Linked DNA regions of Callithrix jacchus. The protein of the gene in region 3 interacts with the protein of the main gene of each other region in a pairwise test. Links are inferred from orthologs where the notes say so. Each region holds a gene or a part of one and is shown on either strand. Other genes may lie near its edges. The genes, in order: SMIM14, SEC22C, FATE1, SLC7A1, TMEM11, SLC38A1 and BNIP2.

What was found.
Region 1: the proteins of FATE1 (region 3) and SMIM14 interact in binary tests that used the Homo sapiens proteins (3 or more experiments, as listed by UniProt). The two-hybrid records come from large-scale screens. The link is inferred for Callithrix jacchus from reciprocal best matches to the Homo sapiens genes FATE1 and SMIM14.
Region 2: the proteins of FATE1 (region 3) and SEC22C interact in binary tests that used the Homo sapiens proteins (3 or more experiments, as listed by UniProt). The two-hybrid records come from large-scale screens. The link is inferred for Callithrix jacchus from reciprocal best matches to the Homo sapiens genes FATE1 and SEC22C.
Region 4: the proteins of FATE1 (region 3) and SLC7A1 interact in binary tests that used the Homo sapiens proteins (3 or more experiments, as listed by UniProt). The two-hybrid records come from large-scale screens. The link is inferred for Callithrix jacchus from reciprocal best matches to the Homo sapiens genes FATE1 and SLC7A1.
Region 5: the proteins of FATE1 (region 3) and TMEM11 interact in binary tests that used the Homo sapiens proteins (3 or more experiments, as listed by UniProt). The two-hybrid records come from large-scale screens. The link is inferred for Callithrix jacchus from reciprocal best matches to the Homo sapiens genes FATE1 and TMEM11.
Region 6: the proteins of FATE1 (region 3) and SLC38A1 interact in binary tests that used the Homo sapiens proteins (3 or more experiments, as listed by UniProt). The two-hybrid records come from large-scale screens. The link is inferred for Callithrix jacchus from reciprocal best matches to the Homo sapiens genes FATE1 and SLC38A1.
Region 7: the proteins of FATE1 (region 3) and BNIP2 interact in binary tests that used the Homo sapiens proteins (3 or more experiments, as listed by UniProt). The two-hybrid records come from large-scale screens. The link is inferred for Callithrix jacchus from reciprocal best matches to the Homo sapiens genes FATE1 and BNIP2.

What each region holds. Positions count from the first base shown.
Region 1 is NC_133504.1:154,165,133-154,169,121, reverse strand, and holds the start of SMIM14 (small integral membrane protein 14), read right to left. Parts: upstream 2,801-3,989; 5' UTR 2,577-2,800; intron 2,201-2,576; exon of another isoform or gene 2,096-2,200; intron 1-2,095.
Region 2 is NC_133518.1:80,324,041-80,328,232, reverse strand, and holds the start of SEC22C (vesicle-trafficking protein SEC22c), read left to right. Parts: upstream 1-1,392; 5' UTR 1,393-1,574; intron 1,575-1,677; exon of another isoform or gene 1,678-1,816; intron 1,817-3,016; exon of another isoform or gene 3,017-3,221; intron 3,222-4,192. UniProt on the Homo sapiens protein: May be involved in vesicle transport between the ER and the Golgi complex.
Region 3 is NC_133524.1:148,013,389-148,017,579, reverse strand, and holds the start of FATE1 (fetal and adult testis-expressed transcript protein), read right to left. Parts: upstream 2,801-4,191; 5' UTR 2,719-2,800; coding exon 2,610-2,718; intron 1,615-2,609; coding exon 1,487-1,614; intron 1-1,486. UniProt on the Homo sapiens protein: Involved in the regulation of endoplasmic reticulum (ER)-mitochondria coupling. Negatively regulates the ER-mitochondria distance and Ca(2+) transfer from ER to mitochondria possibly implicating it in the regulation of apoptosis.
Region 4 is NC_133506.1:148,722,719-148,726,218, forward strand, and holds part of SLC7A1 (high affinity cationic amino acid transporter 1), read right to left. Parts: intron 2,960-3,500; coding exon 2,742-2,959; intron 2,478-2,741; coding exon 2,311-2,477; intron 1,710-2,310; coding exon 1,601-1,709; intron 1-1,600. UniProt on the Homo sapiens protein: High-affinity, low capacity permease involved in the transport of the cationic amino acids (arginine, lysine and ornithine) in non-hepatic tissues.
Region 5 is NC_133506.1:64,771,995-64,776,005, reverse strand, and holds the start of TMEM11 (transmembrane protein 11, mitochondrial), read right to left. Parts: upstream 2,801-4,011; 5' UTR 2,792-2,800; coding exon 2,730-2,791; intron 1-2,729. UniProt on the Homo sapiens protein: Plays a role in mitochondrial morphogenesis.
Region 6 is NC_133510.1:28,969,213-28,973,187, reverse strand, and holds the start of SLC38A1 (sodium-coupled neutral amino acid symporter 1), read right to left. Parts: upstream 2,801-3,975; 5' UTR 2,277-2,800; intron 1-2,276. Other genes in the region: uncharacterized protein LOC103795192, read left to right, coding at 3,061-3,336. UniProt on the Homo sapiens protein: Symporter that cotransports short-chain neutral amino acids and sodium ions from the extraccellular to the intracellular side of the cell membrane. The transport is elctrogenic, pH dependent and driven by the Na(+) electrochemical gradient.
Region 7 is NC_133509.1:6,442,726-6,446,817, reverse strand, and holds the start of BNIP2 (BCL2/adenovirus E1B 19 kDa protein-interacting protein 2), read left to right. Parts: upstream 1-1,292; 5' UTR 1,293-1,475; intron 1,476-1,714; exon of another isoform or gene 1,715-1,874; intron 1,875-4,092.

The DNA.
Region 1 (3,989 bases), on a different chromosome or scaffold from region 3:
CATGCAATGCATATTAATTGCTTTTTTCCTTGTTCTTCTTTTTTTGAGACAGAGTTTTGTTCTTGTTGCCCATGCTGGAGTGCAATGGCATGATCTCGGCTCACTGCAATATCTGCCTCCCAGGTTCAAATGATTCTCCTGCCTCAGCCTCCCAAGTAGCTGGGATTACAGATATATACCAGCATGCCCAGCTAATTTTGTATTTTTAGTAGAGACAGCGTTTCTCCACATTGGTCAGGCTGGTCTCGAAAACTCCCAACCTCACGTGCATGATCCACCTGCCTCGGCCTCCCAAAGTGCTGGGATTACAGGCAATAGCCACCACGAATGGTCTAATTTCTTAAAGTTTACATTATCATAGAGATTTGTGAGGAAACCTTTTAAAACCATCCTTTTAATCATTATGGTTTGGCAAACATAGAGTGGTGCCCCATTATCCACAAAGTATACATTCAAAGAAACCCCAGTGGGCTGGGCCTGGTGGCTCGTCATGCCTGTAATTCTAGCATTTTGGGAGGCCAAGGCCAGAAGATCACTTGAGCTCAAAGTATGAGACAAGCCTGGGCAACACAGTGAGATCTCATCTCTATTAAATTAAAAAATTATAAAACAAATACCTCTCCAGTGGATGCCTGAAGCTCATATAGTACAGAACCCTATATATAGAGACTATGCTTTTTTCCTATACATACCTATAAAATTTATAAATTAGGCACAGTAAGAGATTGATAACAGTTAACAATACAACATTTATAACAATATACTATCATAAAATTTATGTAAATGTGGTCTCTCAAAATACTCTATTTTCAAACGGCGGTTGACCATAGAAACGGAAACCCCTGAAAGTGAAACCACGGATAAGGGGGCACTACTGTAAAGTGAATACTCCCTGAAATTTAAGGTCTAAAGTCCCTATCTGCAAAACTTCAAATTATTACTCAAAAAACAGAATGTGAAAAAAAGCAACTTACGTACTGAAAAGCATACGTGGTATGATACCATATTTGTATAAAATATACAAATTCAAAAAAGTAGTTTAGAAGGGTATAAACTAACATTTTGGTGAACTTTGGGTGGCACGATTATTGATTTTTCTTTATCCTATCTGCTTTTATCAACGTTTTCTCTATTACAAAGTATTTCGTATAGCCAAAAATATTATAGGCTAGCATAAAAAGCAAAAAGCTGAAAAAAAAGAGAACTTCAAAAACTTTTTCCTTCTAAATCAGAATTCCAACTGCGATAGTAAGAATAAGGATCTCACTGGCAAACACTGGAGAAAAGATTCATTAAGAGGTCCATGCTATGCCACAAGGACATACCCTTCAAGGAAATAATCTAAATTCCTAACTCTTCCTGGATTTGCTGTTGACCACAGAAACACCTCAATTAATGAGTTCTGGGAGCGGGGGTGATCTTTTTAAAAACCATGTTAAAAAAGGACAAAAGGGTTTAGTTTTCTGGTCGGTCGCAGTGCTGTCGAGGGCCGCGGAGAGCGGCAAGTTCGGAGGCAGGCTACTCTAAAGGAATCTGCGCGGCCAGTCACCCTGGGTGGAAGGGAATGCAAGCTTCCTACAACCTCCACAGCGCTAGGCAGCGAGGATGCCTCCTAAGAGTCTCAAGACTCCAACACATGGGAGGTCTTACGCTTCCCAAGTTACAGTATGTACAGTTGCCAACTGTTTCTGACAATAACATACAAAAACTGGAAGATCTCTTCTGCAAATGTAGCTATTACTTGCATAGAGCTCATCCGACTCTCTCGATGCAAAACTAAGACATTCTGTTAAGGCCACAGCCTCGGTTTTGCCAACTGGGGCAACTGAAAACATCCTACTGACTCTACAGCCAACAAACCATCTCGGCTAAAATCCCAGCACATATAAACAGCCACTTTGGGGAAGTCTGCCTTTAAACAGCAACATGGATACAGCCGGTAACCAGTTTATCATACACTATTAGTTCCAATAAAGGGTGCTGCTACCTCTGTTCTGTCAGCCTTGGTTACACTTACTGAACAAACAGAAAAAGGGGATCCTTTAAATTCGCGACACAATAGGGGCTTAAAAGCTCTCGCTTTCCGGGTGGCAGCGTTTTCATCTCATTTATCACAACAAAGGACGCATCCCAGTGACTTCACCGTACCCAGAAAGGGCTAGGAAGCCGGGAAAACAAGATATTGTGGATTTCGGGATCTGTGAGTTTTTCCTTCTAGCTCCGACTCTTTTACTCCATGATACGCCTCCACCCGTGTCGACTATCTGATACTAAAAATAAAACCACCCGGGGCTACCGTGCCCTTTCCTGCCAAGCCCCGACTCAGACTTCCTCCAGAGAAAGCTCAATTGCAGGCTTTTCGCGGGGGCGGGGGGGGGGTGGTTGCGGGCTGGGCAGCAGCAAGGCTTCTCCAGGTGCAGAATCGCCAGCCCGGCCCAGGAACGGCCAAGCCGGAGAAACAGCCCGGTTCCGCCGCAACCGCCGCAGTCCCCGAGAGCCTGAGGAGCCCCTAGTTAAAACTGGGGCGAGGGGAGGGTGGGCCAGCAAACGCTGGTGGGAGAGGGGGAGACACTCACCCGCCCAGACAACAATCGATGGGGCGGGGAGGATGGGGGCCGGGACCGAGGCTCGGCAGAAAGACCGCCTGGAGCTTCCGGAAGGCTGCGGCGGCTCCGGACTTCGCTGCCGCTGCCGCTCCTGGCCGCCAGCTTCCTCCCCCTCCTCTGTTTTGATTCGAGTGACCACGTCACTCTTAGCCACGAGACCCGGATCTGCCGGCTCCCAAGGGCGGCAGCGCAACAGATTGCCACGCCTGGAGACTCCAGCGGCCCCGCCTGCCGAGCATGCGCACGACTAGCACCTGTCCTGTGCGTCCCGGGAGGCCTGGCAGGCACCAGCGACTTCGGGCGCCTACGCCACGCTTTGCGTGGGGGCGCGGAGCGCGGGGGATGTAGTTCCGGTTGGGAGGGGCGTGGCTGAGAGCTGAGAAGGAAACGGGGAGAGGCCGGGTGTTGGTGGAAATGTTCCGTAGCCTCTGTTTCGTTGGCGGCGGAGAGTGTTCTCTAATGTGTCTCCCTTTGCCTGAGCTTAAGAATCTTTAGAATACCTTGGTAGAGGTAGACGTGGTTAGAAATTGATGTCTGTTGAGACAGGATACCCCTGTAGAGTGTTTTTGGTCACTCAGGCCCGGATGGAAATTGGAGATGAGGATTACAAAAATATGTCAAATGTGGCAGTTATTGATTCCCTTTACCCTAACGTTTTTGCACCGGAAGGTTGACCAAAATTAAGTTCAACAGGAACATTAAAGTGATTATGTGGCCAGGCTTGGTGGCTCACGCCTGTAATCCCAGCACTTTGGGAGGCCGAGGTGGGCCTATCACTTGAGGTCAGGAGTGCGAGACCATCTTGGCCAACGGGGTGAAACCTCCTCTCTTCTAAAAACGCAAAAATTAGCCGGGCGTAGTGGTGCCTGCCTGTAGTCCCAGATGCTCTGCAGGCTGAGGCGAAGGTTGCAGTGAGCTGAGATCGCGCCACTGCACTCCAGCCTGGGTGATAGTAAGACCTTGCCTCAAACTAAATAAAGTGAATGTTACCAAAGATGACTTGTTGGTTAGGAGATAGTGGGGAAGTAGGAGGGAATGCTGTGGCTAGGCACCCAGCCGGCCCAAGTCTTTGTTGCTTTGGTTGTAGAACTGGAATAAGGGTGCTGTGTGTGGCCGAACAATCTTCTTTTTAGACCAAATTGGTGCTGCCTTCTCTCCCATTCTAGCCTCTGAGTCTCCCTGCTAAACTTTTGGGGCCCCGGAAATTTCCCAATTTGGCAAAATGTAAAACTGTATTGTTTTCTTAGAGCCTTGAATTAGCAAGCGTTAATTAAAATGGGATAAGTGGCGAAGTAAAAGTGAGTCTCAACGATTTCACAAAAGTGCCTCTTTGCCAGTCTTGACGGAGAGGTGAAAGCTGCAAGCTTTCTTACTCTGATTTGA
Region 2 (4,192 bases), on a different chromosome or scaffold from region 3:
AGAATTTGCCTTTCCTCTGCCTTTTTCTTCAGTCTGCCCATATGGGATAAGGACAGACCTTCCTTACTCAGTCCATTGATTCAAATGCCAGTATCTTCTGGGAACACACTCATAGACTTACCCAGAAATAATGTCCCCCAGAGATCTGAGTATCCCTTAATCTAGTTATGTTGACACCTAAAACTAATCATTGCAACATCCTAACCAAAAGTCTCGAAGATGCCTCAAATTCATCTTGGCAAAGCTGGAGCTCTTGATCAATCTTCTCTCCTGTTCCGGTGTTCTCCATATCTGTGCATTCCTCCACCAGCCATCCATTCATTCAAGGCTGACCAGGGGCATCATGCTGGAAGCTACTTCACTGCCCCTTCACATCCAGCTCATCACCAAGTCCTGTTGATGTTGCTCCTACATTTCGCGGCAGCCTGCTTAGATCTTTCTCTTTACTCTCACCCCAGTCCACACTCCAGTTCCATTCTCTCTTGCCCAGATGACTGCACTGGCTCCCAGGCCAGTCCCACCATAGCTTTGTTGAGACTTCTCCATTTTGACACGCACTTTAGCAGCTAAAGTGTGTTTATAAAATGCAATTGTGATCGGTGTTGCATGGTCCTCAACTTGCCACTATGGCCATAAGACCCCACACGGTCCGGCCCCTTCTGCTCGCTCTAGTGGATCTCACTCCACTCCGTTGCTCTCTAAACTCTGAGTTTCTTTTCTCTTTGCGGTAGAATGTACACAACCATGTTTTAAGTGTGCGGACCTGTGGCATTTGGTACACTCACGCTGTGCGATCATCACTACTGTCCATTTCCAGAATGTTTCATCTTTTCCAGCTGAAATAGGCACGAACTCTGCACTCCGCCCTCTCCGGGTTTCTTTTCATCCCTCCAAGGAGCTTTGCTGCCTTCCTCAGGGTTCTGACATACATGCTGCTCTCTCCCCTTTGCCCAGCCGGCCTCCTGTGATTTCCACACCAGCCCAGAAGCGTCTGCAAATTCCCTCAAAACCCCTGGTCCTCCCTGAAGAGCAGTTTGTATTTATACAGGGGTTTGGTTGTTGGAAGGGTGCTCTGCCCCTCCCCTCGTCTCCCAACACAGTTTTTCCACGACGCTTGGCACACAGCAGGTGCTCAATCCTTGCTAAAGGAAGAAGCGGACGGACTCCGCCGCCTCATCTCCTCGCAGCCGGTCATCCATCTCCCGGCGCCTCCGCCCCAGCCTGGGGTGTGTCCCCCTGGGTCGGACTTTGGCGCCCCGTCCAGGCTGGCAGCGGTCGTGCTCTTTGGTCTGCCTATCTCGGGCCTCCCGCCCAGCCGCGCGGACCGCGGAACCCACGCCCCGGGCGTGTCGCTCTGTCACGCGGAACCTCCCCGCCTCCCGACGTCAGGCCGGTTACTACCCCGGCCAGGAATCGAGCTCAGACCACGAAACGTCCTCTCACCCCCGGACGTGAGAATTACCGGCTTGGACCTCAAACCGTCGCGGTGCGAGCCGGGAGGCGGGAAGAGAGTCGGGAGGCGCGCGCCGCAGCCACGCCCCGTCTCCGGCCGGCTCGCAGCTCTTTAAGAACCAGTACGTTCGCGCCTCCGCCAAGACCGGGCCGTGGAGGCGCGCCGGGATTGGTCGGTTTGGGTGCGGGCGTCGCTTAGCAGCAGCCAGTGGGGACTCAAGACTCGCGCACGCGCACCGCCGCCTACCTGCGCCTGGGCCGCCGGTGACCTGGGCCGGGGCCGCCCGGTCGGCTGAGGTGGCTGAGGAGGCGGCGGGTAGCGGGCGGGCGGGCGCCGACTTCCGAAGGCCGCCGTCGGGGCGAGGTGAGGGTTGGCGGGCGGAGGCGGGTGCCGCTGCCCGTTAGCCGAGAGCAGGCGGGGTCGGGTGTGGCGCAGGGCGGGCCCAGAGGTGGAGGCGGTGCAAGGCCCGCCCCGCCTTCAGGCCGGGCCTCGTCCATGGGGCTCCCCGCGGGGCTTCGCTGGGCTCCCTGGAGTCCTCCGTCCTCTTTCTCCCGCCAGCCTCTGCCCGGGCCCTGGGGCCACCCAAGGCGCGCGCCTGCAGGAACCCTGCGCTGGCAGACGGGCGCCCAGTTGGAAGAGATGGGGAGTGACGAAGGGGGCGACTGTGTGTTTAAGTGTCCGCGAAGCTCCCGGAGCGTTTCGCGTCTCGACAGCGGACTCCCCGTAGCGTGTCGCGACCCGGGACTTCAGATTCCCAATACACGGAGCCTCTCGGAGCGCGGGGCGCAGGCCGTTCCGTTCCGGGTCGTGTGTTCGTTGCAATTTACACGTAGACCCCCAGAGCCAGGAGGATAAAGCACTCGGGGGGCGGGGGGGCGGGATTAGGTTTGTAGCAATCCAAGCCACGAAAGACTCTTGCCAGTGGTGGGAAGTAATTGGCGAAGTTTGTGACGTGGTCGGAAAAAAAACGCAGCTCAGAACCAACAGATAGGGCAACATTTAATTACGTTTTGCAGAGAAGAGCTGATCCGGCTAAAGATAATTTTAGTAAAATGAAAAATGGAAGCAGTTGGAAGTGGTTTAACGTTGCTAGGTAGAACTGAATGAACGGTTTTCCTCTGGAAAGGGCATTTTGGACCATGTTGTTAATAGCTCTGATGTAAGTGTTTGTGTTTGCAGCAGAAGCCCTCTTGGAGTCCCAGTGGTTTTTGTTCTTAGAATAGCGTAGAAGTCACCTACATTCAGAAAGTAGCATGGTGAGAGAGAGAACAACCCGACTCCAAGGCAGTTCCGTGGGCAAAGGACAGTTGGATCAGCTGCAGCCTCAGGCTCCTTCCTCCACCAGCAGGTCTCCGATTACCTTATTAGTGTTGTAAGAAGAAGAAATTATTTTTACAAAAAAAAATTATTTTAGAGAAAAGGAGTAGCTGTAGTCCCAGAGGGTGGACTTACAGAAGCAGGATGTGATGGCAAGATGGCAGGCTTTAGGGTATTTGAAGTAAGGAAGTCTGGCTTTGAATCTGGCTCTTGAGCATTACAGCTGCAGTTTTCCTACTTCTCCAGTGCAGATTACGTCTACCTTATAGTTACAAGCATTTAACAACCGTATCAGGGTAGAAGCTACTGTCAAGTTCAGTTTCCTCCCCCTCAGTTCCCAACAAACGGCAGAACTGATCTCCACCCTCCTCTTCACTCCATCCCCAAGCAACTTGGAGCCTTAATAGAATCTACACATTTGGTCAACAGTTCTCAAGTCCTGTGGCTGAAGGTGAATTCAGTAAGGGTGACACAACTCAGTTTTGTCTTCTGTATTGTGCATTTGAGTCTTCTGTATTCTGTATATACTTTATGGTAAGTGCTTGTGTTTGAATATTTGTGTCCCAAATGAAGCCTTTGTCCAAATTCCTATTTTACAAGGTGCAGTCATCTCTCTCTCTCTCTCTCTCTCTGTACATGTGGTAGGGATTTGAGGAGGGGTTAAGGGTAGAAGGTGGAAGGAAAATCAGGAAGAGTAGCCTCCAGCATAGGCACAGAGTCTGTTGAACAGGGATAATGTATGACATGAGCAGTTTATAAACAGGTGTCAGGAAGAGGATTTAGGAAATAACGGAGGCAGATTAAAATATGTTGTTATAAAACCTAGTAACACGGATGCTGTGTATTTGATTACTACTTCACTCTACTTTTAGACAAATTTCATTTGTATAAATTTTCTTTTTTCCTTTCCAAGTACAGATTTATTGCAGAAAAGTGTTCAAAATATAGATCAGAATTATGGCAAGGGATCTGTAAACCTGCATTTCTTGTTTCAGTGAGCAACAACAAGGCAGCCCTCAGGTCATTCATTCATTTGCTTTGCAGTGTTTACTGAGTGTTTCCCAGTACGTGCCAGCAAGGTGGTAGGTAGTGACATCCACGTCCTTGCAGATGGATCCCGTAAGGTCTGAAAGACATTCTAGTGTCTCTACGAACATTCTGAAGCTGCCTTCGTCCTTGTGGAATTGATTTTTTGTTGGTTTTTGAGACAGGGTCCCACTTTGTTACCCAGGCTGGAGTGCAGTGATTCAGTCACAGCTCACACAGCCCTTCTGAGCTCAAGCGATCCTCCCACCTCAGACTCCCGAGAAGCTGGGACCACAGGTGTGCACTACCATGCCTGGCATCTTCATTTTTATTTCTTGTAGAGATGAGTGTCATTATGTTGCCCAGGCTGGTCTTAAATCCTTGAACTCAAGCAGT
Region 3 (4,191 bases):
GGCAGCTTGATTTGGCTTCTGTCTTTGGACACAGGAAGCCAGATCAACATCTGACCTATTTTTATTCCCAGGAAATCTTTAAACCTGGAAGCCTTTTTTCTCAATCTTCCCTGGGGCCATCCAACAAATCATTTCAGCAATCAAGTCTCCCTCCCTTTCCCAGTAACTTCCAAACTTTTCTGTGGTAACAGTAAAAACCACCATTTTCTAAAATTTTATTAATTTTTCCTCACCAACCTGAATGTGGTGAAAAGCATTGGCTACAGAAAGATGGGATTTGTGATTCCCTAAAGCAGTCAGGTCTCCCTTCTCTCCAAAATAAATGCCTTTTTCAGTATCCTTTGCGACAATGTGGCCAGCATCTTTCTAGAACATTCAACATCCACAGTGAATGTAGCTTAAAGAATTGGCCACAGAACCGTGGGACTCACATTATTTCCTGGAGCAGTCAGTCCTCCCTCCCTCTCCAATCCTGTTGCCTTTTCCCAGCAGCCTTTGCAACAGCATATCAATTTTTCTAAAACTTTCCCTTACCCACAGTGAATGTAGCTAGCTAAAAGGATTGGCTACAGAACTGTGGAACTCACCTAATTCTCCAGAAGAGTCAGAATTCCCTCTCCCTCCAAAATGACTGTTTTTCTCAATATCATTTGCAGCAGTATAGCCACTATTTGTTCTAGAATATTTCTTCACCCATATTGAATGTAGCTTAAAAGCATTGGCTACAAAATTGTCAGATTCACTTCACTGGATTTCTTCCTTTCTTCCTTGCTTCTTCTCTCTCTCTCTCTCTCCCCCACCCCCTTCTTTCTTTTTACAGAGTCTCTCTCTGTTGCCCAGGCTGGAGTGCAGTAGCATGATTTTGGCTCATTGCAACCTCTGCCTCCTGAGTTCAAGCGATTCTCATGCCTCAGCCTCCTGAGTAGCTGGGATTACAGGCATGTGCCACCATGCCCAGCTAATTTTTTTATTTTTAATAGAGATGGGGGTTTCACCATACTGGCCAGACTGGTCTCGAACTCCTGGCCTCAAGTGATCTGCCCATCTCCTCCTCTCAGAGTGCTGGGATTACAGGCATGAGTCACCATGCCAGGCCACTTGACTGGATTTCTTAACAGCCAGAAAGGATAGGAGCCTCACCTGACTTATTGTGTGTATACACACACGTGTACCACACACATAATTTTAAATACAGGAAAGCATTATTTCACGCAATAGATTTACAAAGTAAAGTATTTATTTACTCCCTAAGCAATATTTGTTTCAAGAATTCCGAACTCCCAAGGTTGAACCTCTAGTATAGGAAAGGATGACCGTGACCTTTAACTGGACCTTCCTTTCCTCATTTGCCAGCTCGGAACACAGGAGCTTTCTCTTCCTCCCAAGTCAATGTCTAGCCCTGACTGACCTGGTGAGGCAAGAGCCCCTACAAACAGTACTCCCAATCCCAACCTGGCCACCTTATGCTGAGGACCCCATACAGTACCATTTTCTTGGGCCGGGTGGCAGTCATATTCCAAACTGGTTTGGCTTCAGCAGAGCCTGCAGCTTTTGATTCCACCTTCTGCCTCTTCTGGGGGACACTGAGGGACCGAGATCTATGATCCATCACTTCTAGAGAGAAGAACAGAGGCCTCAGGAGCACCCACAGAAGTTATACCAGGGCTTTTTGGACACGAAACACAGCATAAAAGAAGGCAGAGGCCACAGCCTTCTCGGGAATCACTCAACACCCGTTCAACACTATCCACCAGCTGATCCCAGGCCTCAGTTTGTTCATTTGTTCAAAAGTTAATCAAGCATTTCCTGATGGCTGAGCTCGAGACTAGGTTACTCTCTATTCACTTAGAAAGCAATGATCAAGAACAAGATTCCAGCTCTCAAAGAACTGACCATCTGTTTGTGTATAAGGGGGAATGACAGGTGTACAGCAGAAAGTAATCTATCCTCGCAAATGCAGACAGAGAGACACAGGCTCCATAAACGATCAAAACATGGTAACATAGTAGAAGGAAAGGGCTCCCTCTAAAAAGTAGGAGACAAAAACTGAAGCAGGGACCTGAAAGAAATAAAGGACCCAGCCCTGGGAAATTGAGGGAAAGCACATTCCAGACAGAAGAAACAGCAAATGCAAGGTCTTTGGGGAATAAGCACGCTTGCAGCATTGTAATAACAAACATAAATGCAGTGTGATCTTGGCCCTTTTGTGAGCTATAGAAATGATATTTTCTGTCTATATCATAGCATGAAATGTTTTGAGGAGGCTGATACTATCTTATAGACTGTGGAGTTTGGACTTTCCTCTGAAGGGCAGGGAAATGAATTAGAGCATTGGGAGAGAGAATTGATCTCTGATCTTGTAATTTGAGCTCTCTGAGTATTTTGCAACAGACATGGTGGTGGCTTGGACAAGTGGGAGACAGTAGGAAAAATGCTCCCTTTTCCCTACCTCCCTTATCATCAACCCACAAATCCTCGAAGCTCCCCAACACACACATGTGCAAACACTTCCTTGCACACATGCACCTTTTCCAACACACACATGCACAGGTATAGACACGTATCTACAGAGTTGGCTATAGCCAAGTGGTATTTTAGAGGATCCTCACCTGCTATCCCCAGGTGCTCTTGGTTTTGCCCTTGGCTTCCATGATTCAGTTCTTCAGCCAGGGATATTTCTACCTCCTCCCTGGTGCTGATAGGGCCTCCTGCCATCATAACCAGCTGTTCACTTGTAAGCAATGGCTAAAAATGTGCAGGGTGCCAGAAACAGAGGAGTCACACTCAGAAAATCGCCTCTTCCAGGGACAGGAGCTCAAGGAAGATATAGTAGGACCTGGGGGTGGAGTGACACTCCCTCTCTAGGCTGAGGCCTTGGACTGAGTACCTTCTGTTCCCATTGTATCTAATTGGTTGGGTCCATGGCGTTCTCCCCTGCAACTCTGTAAGCAGCTTAGAAGAGATACAACTCCAAGCTTTTGCCTGTGAGAACTGCTCTGGCTCATGGATCTCCAGATTTAGCTCATGGGGGATCCCATCATCATTTCTAGGCAGATGCAAGGATTGGCACAGGGTCCAAGAGCCACACAGTGGCCACAGCAGAGTTAGGTCCTAGCAATCCAGGCCATACCATGCCTTCAAAAGGGATTCTCTGGAGAGCATATCCTACCTCCCATATCCAGAGTCCCCAAACACAGGAGGCAGCCTTTTTCTGAAGTCGGTCAGCCTAGGCAGGAGCCATGAGAACCAAAGGAGGGAAGGGTGAAAGAGGTGTGACCTGACTGCAGCCACTAGAACCCCAAGGGCCTCAGGCCCTGCACCTTCTAAGTTCCAATTCTCCCTCAGCTTACCTACTGACTAGACCACTGTGATGGTCAGGTTTATGAGTCACCTGGGCCAGGCACTTGCCCCTGGTGATTCCATCAAACACCGTGTAGGTGTTGCTGATGAGGCAATTTGTAGCTGTGATTGGCATCTACAACCAGTGGACTTGAAATAAAGTAGAGACTCATCCTCGATGATGTGGGTGGGTCTCACGCAATCAACTGAGAGGCCTGAAGAGCAAAGACTGAGGTTTCCAGAGAAGAGGCATTTCAACCCCAAGACTGCAGGGTCAACTCTTGCCTGAGTCTCCTGCCTGCCGGCCTGTCCTGTACATTTCAGACTTGTGAGGCCCACAGTCACATAAGCCAATTTCTTAAAATAAATTTCTCTATATTTGTGCATATGTAGATACATACATACATACATACATACATACATACATACATACATATATCCTATCAGCTCTGTTTCTCTGAAAACCCTGATTGCTACAACCACCAATGCTGAACCCTTCATTTAGGAAACAACCCCAGAGCCCCTGGGGTAATAGGAGGCTATTTGTAAAAGGAATCCTTTATAAACCTGTCCTGGTTCCTTTTCCAAATAGCCTCCTCTTCCCCCAGAGTCCCTGGGCCAAGTGGGAGGAAGAGGTGGAAGAAAGGAGGAAAAGAGGGAGGGAGGAAGGGAGGAAGGGAGATAGGTAGAAAGGGAGGGAGGGAGGGAAACAGAGAAGAAGGGGCCAGGACTAGCTGAGATAGGGCTGCTTGGTCTGAGACTGACTGCCCCCTGCCCCCATCTCACCTGTCCAGTGCTGGGGCCGAGCTCTTGGGAAGCAGAGCTGATGTAGTCCCTGCCTGCATTCCTGGG
Region 4 (3,500 bases), on a different chromosome or scaffold from region 3:
GGAGAGATGGGTGTGAACAGAGTGCTGGCTACACCACCGCGGGCAGGGCTTAGAGCCCAGGGCAGCCCCACAGCAAACCCTCTCAGGCGGCCTGCTCCTGCCTGGCATGAGCCCACAGCCAGCAGCCCTCGGGACCTTTCCACATCTGGAACAGCTGCCACATGAAAACCACTGTCTGCCTCTACATCTGGCAAAGCCCTACATTCCTCCGGATGGCCTCACGCTGCGGCGTTTCCTGAGCAGACAGAGCAGCTGGGCCAGGGCCACCAGAAGCCATTGGGTCCTTCACCTTAACCCCCTAATGCCCCCTGAGGCCACAAGAGTATCAGGGATGTACACTATGGAGACGGGATTTCCCGCAGGTGCTGGAGGTCTCCAGGCTCTCAGCCTGGACAATCCCACTGCCCCGTTTCCTCCATGCAACTGACCATCAGACTGTAAGAGACATCCTGAGCCCTGGGAACGGACTGCAACACACTGAGCCCTGGGAACGGACTTCACGCAGGAGTCCACAGCCTGTTCCTGCATCCAGGACTCGGGTGGGTCCAGGACCTATGCTTCTAACCACCTGCCCGGGGACTGTGGCCAGATGGCCCCAGGGCCACCTTGTGTGGTTGACACAGGAAAGCAGGCCTCAAAGCAAGGACTCAGACACGCAGAACCCAGGAAAGGAGCTCAGGCTCCTGAACACGGGGACTTTACAGGGACGTTGGGAAAAGGTACCCTCTGCCTTCACCAGGCCCTGCGGAAATGACCACAGTGGGCTGTGAGCAGCGTTTTCTCAGAAACGCTCTAGGAGATGTCTAACTAGACATGGGCTGCACTTTGCAGAGAATGAGGACCCACCTTGGTGCCAGCAGAAAATGGGCCGCTAAGTGTTTCCTGGAGGAAAAGCACCCCTCAAGGGTCCTAGGAGATGAGGCAGCAGCCATCTGCCCACAGCATGCATATACGGGTCTGGGAGGCTGTGGGGACATGGTCCTGAGGGGCAATGGCAAGGACCACATCCCTGGCTATCAGCACTACCACTCAGATGCTGAGAGGAAGGAAATGAGTCCCTCCCCTCCAGCCCCTGGGGTGAGATGCCCAGAGGGGTGGGACTCGGCCAGCCCTACAGGCTGCACCCAGCCCTGGTGATCTATCTCACGTGGAAGCCCCTACCCCAGTGGCATGACCCATAGGCTCCAAAGCACCGTCCTTCACAGAGAAGACGCCATCACAGAGGAGCCCATGACAGCCACCCCTGCCTGGGCCTCGTGCCCATACCAATCTGGTGCTGGGCAGGCCAGGGGTCCAAAAGACACAGGCCAGACTTTCCTGTCTGGGGTGAAAATAACTGGTACCTTATCTCTAGCTGACTCCTCACCTTGTTCCTGTTAATATCAAGGTCTTACCCAACAGAATAAAAAGTTTGGGCAAGAGGCAATGGAAACAAAAAGTATCTAACAGGGAGGAGAGGACTCACAACCTACCAGGGATTCAGCATTATCTCTGAGAAAGCTGCTGACTGCATGTGTGTCATTGTGTTATAAATCCTGAAACAAGGGAGGCCCCCAAGAGAAGCCAGGATCGTGGACGTGCTGGCGGCAGCATCACATACCTATCAGCATCCACACGGCAAACCGGACCCAGGTGCCCTGGTCCAGCTGCATCATGAGATAGACGTTCACGAAGATGCTCAGGATGGGGAGCACTGGCAGGAAGGGAACCTGCAGAGACAGGAGGTGGCATCAATCCGCGGCAGTGGCGCCAGTTCCAACAGTTCAGTAACACTGTCTAGCAAAAGGCAGCACACCTGAGAGTGATGGGGACTGTCGGGTGAGCGTGGGGAAGAGAGGGTGCGTGCCCACCACCACACCCCAACACCCCCACTCCACACACAAACCCAAGGGTAAATCCTAGTAGGTGGGGATTTGGTTCTAAGCTCTGAGTGCCAAGTGAGCTCCATTCTGATTTTTCTCTCTTATGATTCTCCCACTAAAGAAAGGACCTAGAAGATGGACCTCCATTTTACCTCTAAGGTCTTTTTTATTATTTGTGTAATCTAAACATGTAGAAGCCTTGCCTGTCTCCAAGGCTTGGAAAAGTGCAATCAACCTGGGCAGGCATTTACAAGAAGCGGCCCACCACCGGAGAGCCAGGGGAGGAGGGTCCAGTCCTCTCGGTGCCTTCAGGGCCCCTGTCCCAGTGCCTGAACTAGCCGGCTAAAACCTTCGTCGGGCACCCGGGCCCAGCTGAGCCTGTGCAGAGCTGGGGTCTGTGTACCAGGGTTCCTTCCCTGCAACAGGCCCACTAGGCCAAGCTGCTCACCTTAAATGAGAGCTTGGTCTTGCTCTCGGGCTGCCTCCAGATGACGACCGTGACCACAGCACAGAGGAGGGCAGACCCTGCCAGCATGAAGACTGCCCACAGCGCCCCTTTGGTGAGAGCCTCCTTTCCAAGCACGGCCACAATGCAGAAGGTGATGATGAGAACAGCTAAGGGGGAAGAAGAGACAGAGCGAGCTGCAACTCAGCCATTTCTCAGTTTCCCACAAGCATGTGCTGCTCTCCCCAAAACTTGGGGAGAGAGAGGCTCCATTTCCGAAGGCATCAACAGCAGTTAGCACAGAGTAACTATGCCTCAGTCCAGGAGCAAGGCAGACGCTCGTCTTCTCTGGCACCCTCCCCCAACTCCAGCTCCACTGCCTAGAAACCACGCAATGCCAGCAAGCAAGGCCCCAGGGAAGGGCTAGCTCTTACCTATGAGGCTCGTTGAAATGTTCACGATTAGCCCAGAGACTTTGGAAGGCTCCACGTTTTTGGGTGAGAGTATGGTTTTCAAGGAGAACATCTCTGCCTCCGGTAAAAAACCCAACTGGGAATCACTGGTGCTAGTCAGCTCATTTTGGTCTGCATGATCTAACTCATCGGAAGTACTGGCCATCTGGTATACCAGGTTAGGTTGCTCTGGCTGATACCTGGGAAGAAATGTATTGTGTGACCAACCATTATCCACTTAGAGCAAAAGGGCAATGCACCAACCCACGTTCTGCAAAGTTAGTTTCTATAAAACTACAAAGTTAGCTGCCTGGGACATGAGGTATGAAATGGGAAGGAGATAGTCAGAGGCTGCACACTGCAGACGAAGAGGAGAGACTGGGAAGGTCACCTCCTGCTCTTGCTTCTGGAGAACACCCTCCGTGGTCTGTTTCCAGGCAACAGGAACTCCGCCATGAGCAACCCCGAGGAATACCCTGAGAGAAGTGGCAGTGGCCCTCAGATGCTAAAGATACTAGGCCACTTCCCACAAAACTACGTATAAGGAGCTAAAAAGAAGGACAGAAATAGAAAGCAGGAACACCAGGATCCTATTTGGCACCAAGAGCCAGAGGAATGTGGCTGCAGGCTGACGGATTTGAGAAATTCTGTTTGTGTGATTTAATTGGATCAATTTATTTTTAAAACTCCAAGCGTCCTGGAGTAAATCATTGTATGTGGCTGGTCGGAGGGCCGAGCCTG
Region 5 (4,011 bases), on a different chromosome or scaffold from region 3:
AAGGCAACCCTCTCATTGTTGAGGTTTCTTTTGGATTTCCTTCCAGCTCACATTCTACCACAATTTTAGCTGCTTACAATCCTCTCACGGTCCTTCATCACCTATGGTGTGTGATTCCTACTCAGCACAATCCAGAGGCCCCTCCTTAGTTAGAAAATTGCCTCACTCTCCAAATTCAACTGCTTACCTTTCCTGTCTGGAACTTACCAGCCTAGTAAATTCAGAGGGTTTGTAGGTACACAGATGTTCTATGCCTTGCCTAAAATGCTTTTTTGCCTCCCAGCCAACTTCTATGCTTCAAGACCTTGTACCTGTCCGGTGTCTAGAAAGTACCTGGTCTTCCAGTTGGGTCATACAGCCCTGCCTCCAAGTGTCAGTATAGCCCGTGCTGGAGACCTCTGGACAATTCCACAGTATGACCCTGCCTGCAGATATGCCTGTCTTTTCTCTGGATCAGTGTGGTGATTCAGAGGGTACACTAGGGATTCCAGAACGTACTTCTTCTGGCTCAGGGGCTGCTGGTGTAGCTTATGTTTCTCAGCTGCCTGGTTTGTGTCATGGGATGATATTATTATGGTACCTCCCCTCAGAGAATTGCTGTATTTCCTGAGGTGATACATATATGGAACTTAGAAAAACAGCGCAAGGTAACAGTAACAACTGATTATTATGTAGTGCCAAGTGCTGTTCTATATTTTGAGTGATCTACATCTTGATCTTCACAACAACCCTATGAAAGTGATACTGTTGGCCGGGTACAGTGGCTCACGCCTGTAATCCCAGCTCTTTGGGAGGCCAAGGCAGGTGGATCACCTGAGGTCAGGAGTTCAAGACCAACCTGGCCGACGTGGTGAAACCTCATCTCCGCTAAAAACACAAAAATTAGCTGGGTATGGTGGCATGCGCCTGTAATCCAGGCTACTCAGGAGGCTTAGGCAGGAGAATCACTCAAACCCAGGAGGTGGAGGTTGCAGTGAGCCGAGATCACATCACTGCACTCCAGACTGAACAACAGAATGAGACTGTCCAATAAAAAAGTGATACTGTTATTATCAACAATCTCATTTTTCTTTTCTTTTTTTTTTGAGACGGAGTTTCGCTCTTGTTACCCAGACTGAAATGGCACAATCTTGGCTCACCGCAACCTCTGCCTCCTGGGTTCAGGCAATTCTCCTACCTCAGCCTCCTGAGTAGCTGGGATTACAGGCACGCGCCACCATGCCCAGCTAATTTTTTTTTTTTTTTTTTTTTGTATTTTTAGTAGAGATGGGGTTTCACCATGTTGCCCAGGATGGTCTCGATCTCTTGACCTCGTGATCCACGCACCTCGGCCTCCCAAAGTGCTGGGATTACAGGCTTGAGATACCACGCCCGGCCATTTCTTTGAGTTTTCTAAACACGTTATTTCCTATTACTGTTTGCATTAAATATCTTGAAAATGTTTTTGTTAAGGGCGTGTGAAAACCAGTGAGGTAACTCATTTAAATAGCCCAATCTAAGAAATACCAGGCAGGAGTTAGAAAAACGAAAGTGTTTGCCATTGCTTTTCCAAGGAAGAGGAAAAGCAGAATGGGCAACGTTGGATAACCGGGCTCAAGAATAAAAGGCGAGCTAAAGGATTCTATGGCAACTGCCAAACAGGAATAATCTTCCTAGCTGGGAAGGCCATCTGCAAGCAATAGCAATGAACACAGGATGGAATCAGTTATAGAAAAGGAATAATGCGGAATAGTAGAGAGGAAGAGAACTTTTCTGTTAGACAATCCTCACCAAAAGAAAGACGGGGTGGGGTGGGGTGGGGTGGGGAGTGGGGGACCCAGCAAAACCCAAACTTTCCTTTTTTGCTAACGGCTGCTATTCCAATCAAGCTTTAGCGGATAATTAATCCAGGTGGCTCCACCAGTATACATGGTCTCCCAAACTTCTACTGGCTGAACAGCTTCTAGTGACTTCCACTAGCTGAAGCTGCTACCTAGAAGCAAAAACTGCAACTTCAACATGAAATGCGGAAACTACTCCAACCTCATCCAGAAATTGGTTATTCAAACGGAGGTCCCCCTTTGAAGAAACACGCTCCTAGCTCCCTAGCGACATACCATTCATTAGTAAAGGTAACTTTAAAGAACTTCCACGGCAGGAGCGCTCGCACAGAACAATCCAAAAGTCTCCAGAATAGCCCCCTCGAGGAAGTGGCCGGCTCCGGGCCCGGAAGAGACACATGGAGCGGATGGGGAGCTAAAGCTCCCTGGTAAACGTGCGGATCAAACTGCCCCTGCAGCGGCCGGCCTTCTCTGTGAAGGCTTCCCCTTCTTCTCTCTCCGGGGGCCCGGTCCTCCTCGCCACGTCGGGGGCCGCGGCCGAGATGGCCCCGCGCGTGGCCAAGCGGGGAGGGTGCTTCTGCCGCCGCTTGGCCCGCGGGCAGCTAGGCAGGTTCCTGGGGCCTGCGCGAGGCGCCAGTTCCTCTCCGCAGAGCCTGGCTTTGGGCCCCGCCCCGCATGGCCGCTGCCCACCTTACCCAGCTCGGGTAACCTCCCTTCCCCTAAGCTCTCCGCCGAGACCTTCGGCCTGACTCCCACCCGGATCCCGGATCCTCCGGAACTGGAACCCCGTATGCCCGGCGGGGGTCCGGAGAGCCAGGGCAGGAAGCCTGGTGCAGGCCCCGGAAGCCGCGCTGGGCTCTCCGGTCCCTAAGCCGCCTGCACCGGGAGCAACAAGCCCTTGGGTCTCACCTCTCTCGGGCGCTGCCGCCACTGCTGCCCGGGCCAAGACGCCTCCTTCCCCAAGCGGCCATCTTGGAGACACTCTGCTCGCCAACGTCTCGCGCCAAGGCGGCATCGGGAGAGCAGACGAACCGACGGGAAGTGTAGTCCGGCCCGCTATCGTGGGCCGCTCGGCGGGCAGAAGCCGGACCCGGCGGAACTACCGCGCCCACAAGTCAGCGCGCCGGAAGCCCCGCCCCCGGGGTCGCTGGGGCCGGTAGTCCTTCTGCGAGGGCGCGAGGCCCCGGGGAGCAGTCCTGGTTCGAGCACTTAGGAAGAAACTGAAGTTCCCGGCGTTCTCAGCCTGGGAGTCACCGGCGCCTACCCGCCGGTATGTCCTCGGGTTTCATGAGCCAGTAGCAGTTGGAGAGAGGACAGGAAAGTGCCTACAACTCCCAGAGCGCCGCGTGGAGGCGCCCGGCCCTGCAGCCTCGTCCTGCCAGGCCGCGTCTTTGGCCAGGGGGCCACTGCTCTGTCTGCGGGCCTCTAGCGCACGGCTCCTCCGCGTCGACCCTCCTGCCCTTCACAGCCTCGGCCCGTAAGGTCACTCTTGTTACCTTACGGTAAGCCACCGTGCCCGGCAAAAATCTCATTTTTCAAATGAGGAAATCAACTTACAGAGGACTTGTTCACACTGTCAGCCGGGAAGGGTGCTGGGATTTGAGTCCAGACTGACCAGTTGCAGGGATTACACTCTGCCATTGTGCCTCTCAAGAAGCACTGGAGGCAGGTCTAGTGCACAGAGTCAATGTAAATGCGCAAACAACTGTGGCCCTAACGACCCTCCCATTTCTCCAGCTTTTACTCTCCCCTTACCTTCTGTATCGCCATCTGCTTCCAGTTTGCCAGCTTGGGCCAAGATCCTCACAATATTGCCTCCTGGTTACTGTGAATGGACAGAGGTTGTCTGGAAGGATCATAGCCTCATTGACTCAGTGTGTATTAGCTGAGCACCTACCGAGAGCACAGCCTGAGTGGTGGGAATTAGTTCCTGAGGGCTGTCATAAAGTGGAGACTCCCGTGAGCCCTCTGTCCTGCTGTACGAAGGTAGCCAGTGGAAGGGCATGTCCTAGCTGGTGCTCAAAGTAATCTGCTACTTCTCTTACTACACTTTCATTCATTCAGTCTTTTTTTTTTTCTGAGATGGAGTTTCACTCTTGTTACCCAGGCTGGAGTGCAATGGTGCGATCTTGGCTCACCCCAACCTCCGCCTCCTGGGTTCAAGCAATTCTCCCGCCTCAGCCTCGTGAGT
Region 6 (3,975 bases), on a different chromosome or scaffold from region 3:
GCAGCAACAGCCAGATGTCAGACCTTCTAATCATGGTGCTCCTTTCATTAAATGGCCTTAATTCATGGAGCATTGTAAAAACTTTATGTAAACAACATACATATAGTTTTAAAGAATCCAAAACATCTTTAAAATCTATTCATCACATCAGCTCAATTATATTGCAGTCAAAGAAGAGTGCAGTAAGTACTTGTTTTTCCTTCTTCCTGTTCCTTCTGCTGGCTTTCTTCCCTCAATTATGAAAATAGCTGATCCCTTTCCACCATTCCGGTCTCAGGACAAATGTTATCCCCTCACACTGGCCCTCCTGGTGAGTCACTCTATTTCAGGCATCCTACCCCATCACATGATCCTGTTTTATTTCTTCATTGCACTAAGAATACCTGAAATTTATATGCCTACATTTATATAGTCTGTTTCTCCCCGAGAACAGAAACTTCACAGAAGGCAAAACAAATCTTGTTAGTTGCTGCCAGTCACACAGTAAGCCCTCTGTAGAAAATGTTTCTTGGCTACATTTTTTTAAAAAGCAAATAAACTTCAAGATTAATACCTCAAACCAATCTAGGCTGGTTTCCAATTGCTTACGACATACTGAGAACTGAAGTGACTCTAAAGAGCAAGGCTATTTTGAGGCTGGGGTCGAACGAAAATCCACGGGGTCTATGCCATATCAGTACAACGGAATTGACTGTTTTGCAAGATTTCGGGAGTACCAAACGGGCATGAGATGTTTGACAACGAGGCCAGCCATACACCGAGCTCGGGTTTTATTTCCCTTGTCCTTCTGACGTCAGAAAAAGCACGAGTTGCTGCACAGTTTCTTTTATCAAGGTGACAAATTACACCCTCGCTGGGCCGTGCATTCTGCAAACCATAAATTTATTTTCCTCCTCCCCTTTATATTGAAAAATGTAAAATCCCACTGCAGAGATGTCAAAACCCCTTCCAAACGCAAATGAATACCGTTTTCAAGCAGAGGCGTCTTTTTTCACTTTTACTACACACATCACCGTGGATTCCTCTGAGAAAGTACATGATCCTGGCGGGAGTTAGGTTTCTAACGGAGAAAGAGGGTTGTTAAAATCCCGGGTTCGCGCCGCAGAGCAAGACAAAGGACTCTCAATTGTAGCACCACCTTTCCCAGACCAAGGCAGCCTGTGAAAGGCACTGGGAACTGCGTAACGCGGAAACCGCGAAATTCCTTTTGCTCCCATATGCACTTGTGCCTTCTCTGACTACAGTTTAGCACAAACCCCCGGCGGGCGATTTGGCAGGGAATCGGTGCCCAGGCAGCCCGGTAACCTGCAGGGTCCCAGTGGGTGCTGAGGAGCCCCATGCACCGGGAGGTAGATAATTTAGGGGGCGAGGAGCTCGCACAAGGGCGAAGGTGCGCTCTCCTCCCAACACCTACCCACGCGTTTGAAGGCCTCTGTGGCAATGTTTAGGGAAGCTAGCTAGGTGCCGGGGGTTGGGGAGGAGGTGGGACTAGAAGCGAGCACAGTCTGAGACCAAGCCCGCGCAAGAGGTGGCCTTTTGTTCGCTGGCTCCAGCAGATTCCGGCTCTCGAGAAAAAACACTACCTCTATCCCCTGTCACGCTCTGCATTTTAGAAAAAAAAAACCTCTTCAGGGCAGGAAAGGACAGTAAGTCACTGCAAGCATCCCTTAGTAATTTCTCCCCGCGCCCTCCTATTTCCCCGCGTTACAAAGGGACAGAGAACACCAGGAGGGATGGCAAACGTGCTCCCGTTTACCGATGCTCCGCGGCGGCTACCCAGCAGACCGCACGCAGCACCCCTGGGACATCACACACTCTCCTCTGGGCCTTGCGGACACAGGAAATTTCCCTCAAAGGTTAAGGATTCAAACACTCCTAGAACACGGTCGCGCCCTCAAGTAAGCTGCGCTCTCGCTACAGACCTGCGTCGTTCCTGGCCCTTGTAAAAATTGAACCACATTTAGTCCCACACGCTGCCACAGCCACGGGGAAACAGACCAAAGCCACAGGAAAACAAACCAAAAAGTAAGCCACAGCCCACGGAAAGGTCAACTCGGGGGCCCTGGCGCTTCCTCGCGCTACCGCGTGCATTCGGGAAACACAGGGGACCCGGACTTTCCTTCTCCTAAAAGCAACATCCAAACGCTTCGGGCACAGCCCATGCTTTCTCTGCTTTCACGCCGGCAGGGATGATTTCTACGTTACCGCCTTCTCTCACATCTAAACATCCCCCCGCCGCTCGCCCAGCCCTCCCCGGGAACTGAAAACCACCTTACCTCCGGAAATAAGGGGAAAGGTGGCGAAAGGCGATGTGAAGGTGTCCGCCCTTCCGGGATTTTCACCCTCGGCAGTTTGATGTCCTTTGTGTCAAGGTCTGGCTGTGGCGCCGGGAAAAGGTGGCCCCCGTCAGTGAGGGCTGGGCAGGGAGCTTGGCGTGGCCTGGCGGATTTCCGAGGAAGGTGAAGGGCGGAGGCTCCTGGCGACCTTCAGGCGGAGTGGCGTGGCTGCCCCAGTCCGCGCTCGCCCGGCTCTACTCCTCCTTTCCGGGCCGATTGCATCAGAATCTCCCCTCACCAGCAACCCCCACTCACACTCTGCTCTCCGGCCCCGCACTTACAGCGACAAGCACGGGCGCTGAGGGTCACGAATCGGAGTCATTCTCCTACTGTGGGGCACGTCGCCCTTCAGCAACCACGGCTTGTGATGGTTGAACGGGGACAGTCAGGCCATTCCTCCCCGTCCCGCGCCCCGTCTCCTCCCCTCCTGTGCGCCCGCTCTTTAACCAAAGCTGCGTGTCACTGAGCCGTGCCCGTCACATGGTGCCACTGCTGGCGGCCGCGCCTTGTTGCCTCCCTCTCGTCGCTCCCTGACGATGCAGCTACAGCGGCTGACGGAGACTGAGCAGCGGGGAAAGGGTGAGGGAGGGGTTGCGGGTCGCGCGGGTGTCCGGCGCACGGAAGGTGGCACTGGGAGAGAAGGCTGCGCGCCGCCTGGCACCTGCCCTCGCCCTCCTAGGGCCCGGCGGCGTGCTCGGAACCCAGCGGCGATGGCAGCTGGAAAATGCGAGCCCTTAGGGATGGGGGTGCGGCCGCTAAAGGGACACCGGCGGAGGACAGGAGGGCTGTGCGTTCGGCTGGGGCCTGCGTTTTGGGTACTCCAGAGCCCCGCCGGGGCCGAAGGAGCGAGGGAGTTGCATTGTGGGAAGGGGAGCTGCATGAGGATGGCCGCCGGAGTGGCGGGTCCGAGCGCAGCCCCGAGAGCCGCGGGCAGCGCCCGGGACTACGCGTAGCGTTGGAGCAGAGGGTTGGCGCTGGGGACGGCCGGCAGATGGCCCGGGTTGGCGAGAAGGGGACCGAAATGGCAGGGGGAGGTGGGAATTCGGGCACCTTTGGAAACCCTTTGTCCCTAACCTGAACGGGAGGCACCTCCCCTCTTCCGGATCCAGCACCCGCAGATCTGGCGAGCCCTCCCTGAGGTCTGCCCTGTGGAGCTTTGCTTTGGGAACTGAGTGTGAAGCGACCAGGAGGATTTGTTGAGCGCCGAGAGAGCACCTGTCTAGGCGTGAAGAGGAGGGGGCTAGGTCGTGGAGTGCCTGGTGACCCCACTTGGTTCCACCCGAAGGACCTGGCGCGCCCTTCGCCAGGTTAACGGAGCTGGGGCGCTTCAAGTCCGGGGGACGAGCGAGCGGGATGGGGGGAGCGGGGGAAACTGGGCCTGGTTCCCTTTTTTTTCCCCGCTTACTCTTTGTGTCAGACACAGCCCCCTTTCACTGTCTGGGCATTTCCTTGCATAGGAGTTGTGTCTTCTTAAAATGGCGACAGGAAATCCCACCTGCGCTTCAGCCAATTAGACTGTCATTATAGAGTGAATGAATTTGCGGGGTGGAAACGCGAGCTTTTTGCTGACCGGGATGGTTCAGTCTCATGTTCATGGTTCATCAAAACAGGAAAAGGAAGGTGAATCATAATTCAAAAA
Region 7 (4,092 bases), on a different chromosome or scaffold from region 3:
GTATGGTCTGATTTGAATAGTTTACTTTGAGTACTCCGACCATGGTCTGTAGACCTGGGCTTTTCTGAGAACTGTTTGTAAATAGACTACAGAGAGATAGTAGAAAACTCTATAGCAATTTTCCGGGTAATTTTATGGATGTTAACCCTAACGATAAAAAGTTTACATTTGGACTTTGTGTGTCTTTTCATTTGTCTGTTTTATCAACTAATTGAAAATTTTTAAAAATTAATATATCATTCCCCACATTAAAGAGAAGCACTGCTGCAAAGCTGTTCACACTCGAAATTACCAAACTCCAAGGACGCTTCTGAGGCCTAGCTCCCCAAAATGAAGTCTCGGATATTTTTCCTCCCCTTATTTCTTTTCTTTTCTTTCTCTTTTTTTTTTTTTTTTTTTTTTTTTGAGATGGCGTTTTTGGTCTGTTGTCCCAGCTGGAGTGCAATGGCATGATCTCCGCTCACTGCAAACTGTGCCTCCTGGGTTCAAGTGATTCTCCTGCCTCAGCTTCCTGAGTAACTGGAATTATTGGTGTCCACCAGCACGTCCCAATAATTTTTGTATGTTTAATAGAGGTGAGGTTTCACCATGTTGTCCAGGCTGGTCTTGAACTTTTTTTTTTTTTTTTTTTTTTTAAGACGGGGTGTCACCATGTTGGTCAGGCTGGTTATGAACTCCCAACCTCAGGTGATCCACCCACCTTGGCCTCCAAAGTGAGCCACTATGCCCGGCCTGGTCTTGAACTGTTGACCTAGGGTGATCCACCCGCCTCAGCCTCCTAAAGTGCTGGGATTACAGGCGTGAGCCACCTCGCCCGGCCTCCTCCCCTTATTTCATTCATTTTATAATTCACATTGTTCACATTATTATTGAGCGTTGATAATTGCACCTATCGTAATGATACTGACACTTGCCCCTGTTGTTATAAAATTGCTATTGGTAATTGCACCTATTGCATTATAATATATTGATAGGGATAATTTCACCTACTGTAATGTTCCATAAAGAGAGGCAAAAAGAAAACAAAAATGACGGAGACTACAGGGCAGCGTCCCAGCGCACAACAAAGAAGAAACGCCTCGAGGCGCGGTAAACGCCACCAATAAGGACTCGAAGCGACGGGTCTGCCCAGAGGCGAGGAAGGCTGACGCGAGCGACAGCCCGGGCGGTCTGAGTGGGCCAGGGGGGTGCTGTGTGGGTTTCTAGGGGACGCCACGCCTCCGCCACCGCCTCCTCCGCTGCCGCGCCCGGAGGACGTCGGAGTGACGTCACTTCCGTCTGGATCTCTCACTGCTTCCGGGTCAGCTGCCGCCGTCGCCGCTGTGCCGCTGCGGCCGGGGGATTGGGCCGGGGTCTCCACCGCCGACCGAGGGGAGCGGGCTCCGCTCGGCGCCGCTTTTTGCGACCTGGCCGTCAGCCCCACGTCGCCGGCCTGGAGGGGCGAGGAGGACGAGGGGGCCAAGGCTTCCTCCGGGGTGAGTGCGGCCTGGGGGGACTCGGCACGGTGGCTCCGGAGCCGGTCTGGAACCGGCCTAGGGGCGCAGGTTTGTCGGGCGCTTACCCAAGACGCCCGGGGAGAGGAAACGCAGAAGGTTACCCGTGGTAGGGGGCGCCATAGAACCTGCTCGGGAGGTGCTTCCTGGATCCCCGCCCAGCGTAGGTCCCCGCCCTTGGCTCGGGTCCTGTTTGTATTTGGCAGTTGGGCCCCCACCCCACCCCTTTTCCGTTTCTGGTAGTTGTGCTCGGGATAGAACCTTGTGCCTCCCCCTCTCCCCCACCTTTACCCCGGTGTGGGTGAAGTGGCTGGGCCACGATGGTTCAGTATTTATGACCAGCGTCCGCCCTGGTGCAGAACAAAGAAACTTGGACTTCTGGTACGCCTTGTAACCTCGGGGAATAGACACGGGAGCAGCGTAAGAAATCCGGGCTTTATAGATCTTCCCGAGCGCGCTAAACCAAATCTAGAGTGTGTACGTCAAACGTCCAGTCCCCGCTGGGATCCCGACACCACCTTTTCTGTTTAAATACCTGGCACAATGGTTTGCATTTCTGGATGCATCTCTTGCCGCTGGAGAGTTACTTGTCTATCCTGTGAGCTCTTGGAGGGCACAGCTTTTGCCGTGTTCATCAAGATAGGCACAGTCTCCTGTTTCATCGAATGAATTATCTGATTGCATTTTAGTGTTGCTTTTTTCATTCTCACTTTCTCTTGATTAGGATCTCTGTCTCTCCTAATACCTGATTTCTTATTTTCAGTTAAATGTGTTATTTTTCTAACATTTTACTGGCATATCTGCAGATGTAGAAACAAATACTGTACTTTGTGAATGGATGTTTCCTCAGAATTGCAAGTGACGACGTTACCCAATTAAGTTACCCTTGCACACTAGTTTCTTGATCATTTTGCACATACTCGTCTTAGTTCTTGTTATTTTTCGGTTTCTCTAAACTCTATTCCTGGTCTTCATAATCTGTAGTGCAGCCTAACATAGTTGGGCTTAGACAGGAAGTATGACAGATCGATTTCTGCAAACGGAACTTGAACTGGATTATCATAAGTCAGTGCTATTATGGTCTTCAGGCATTACAATATCTTTGAAGCTAAGTGCCACCAAATCGGGCACTACGGGCTTATTCTGTATGCAGCTGCCAATGCATTGCAGACGGTGCGCTGTATTAGAGGCAGTTCTGGACTAGGTAGGTGGACCAGGATGTGGTTCCTCACATGTAAGATAAACTGAAGATAACACAAGTGTCATGCATCGCAAAGTGACTGGTTGGAACATGAGATGATGGATATCAAAGGGGTTAGTAAATGTGAAAAGCACTCTGGAAAAATTCTGTTCGATCTGGAGTAATGCTGGTAGAAGGAACAATAGGGAGAAGGGTGTCGGAGAAAGCATGTGTAACCAGATCCAGGAAGTCAAAGTTGGCTGGTAGGATCAAAGATGTCTTGTTACTTTGGGCGGCCAAGACAGCGGATCACCGGAGGTCGGGAGTTCGAGACCAGCCTGGCCAACATGGTGAAACCCCATCTCTACCAAAAATACAAAAATTAGCCGGGCCTGGTGGTACATCCCTGTAATCCCAGCCACTGGAGAGACTGGCACAGCAATCACTTGAACCTGGGAGGCAGAAGTTGCAGTGAGCTGACATTGCAGCACTGCACTCCAGACTGGTTCAGCGTGGGCTACAAAGTGAGACTGTGTGTGTCCCCGAGCCGCCACTCTGGTGGAAAAAAGAAATGCCACGTTGTGTTCACATGCTATGAAGCAAAATACTAGTGTAATACGATGATAGTAATATTCCACGATTATAGTTTTATGTTACAATTAATTTTTCTGACTACAGCAAACTAAGGTCTCAGCATTTTCTGTATGTTCTGCAATGATAATTCAGTAAAGGTCACTTTCGTAGGCAGCACCATCGTCTTTTGCTTTATTTTCACCATTTTGAGAGAAGTCATCGCCACTCTAGTTTTTCCTCTTACATTTTTGTTAACGTTTATTTTATTTATTTATTTATTTATTTATTTTTTGAGATGCAGTCTTGCTCTGTCACCCAGGCTGGAGTGCAGTGACTCGATCTCTGCTCCCTGTAACCTCTGTCTCCTGGGTTCAAGCGATTCTCCTGCCTCAAGATTACAGGCAGGCACCACCATGCTTGACCAATTTTTGTATTTTTAGTAGAGATGGGGTTTCTCCATGTTGGCCAGGCTGGACTCAAACGCCTGACCTCAGGTGATCGGTCCACCTCAGCCTCCCAAAGTGTTGGGATTACAGGCGTGAGCCACCGTGCCTGGCTTGTGTTAACATTTCTGATAGAGCATCTTATTTTATTGTTTAAAAACGATATACCCCTCCCCTCATGGAAGCAATGACAAGCAAGTATATAGGATTTTTCTAAGGATGTTTGGTGATCGCCTAAATGTACAGGCTGTTCGTTAAAAAGTGAACAGAAATGTTTAGAATGAAACCATTTTGTTTAAATGGGGAAGTGAAAGACTTGCCTGGGCATTTCCATCTGCCACTGTAATTGATTTCAGCATAAATAGTCGTTTCTGGCACGTATTGGAGCAGCACTGTTAAACTG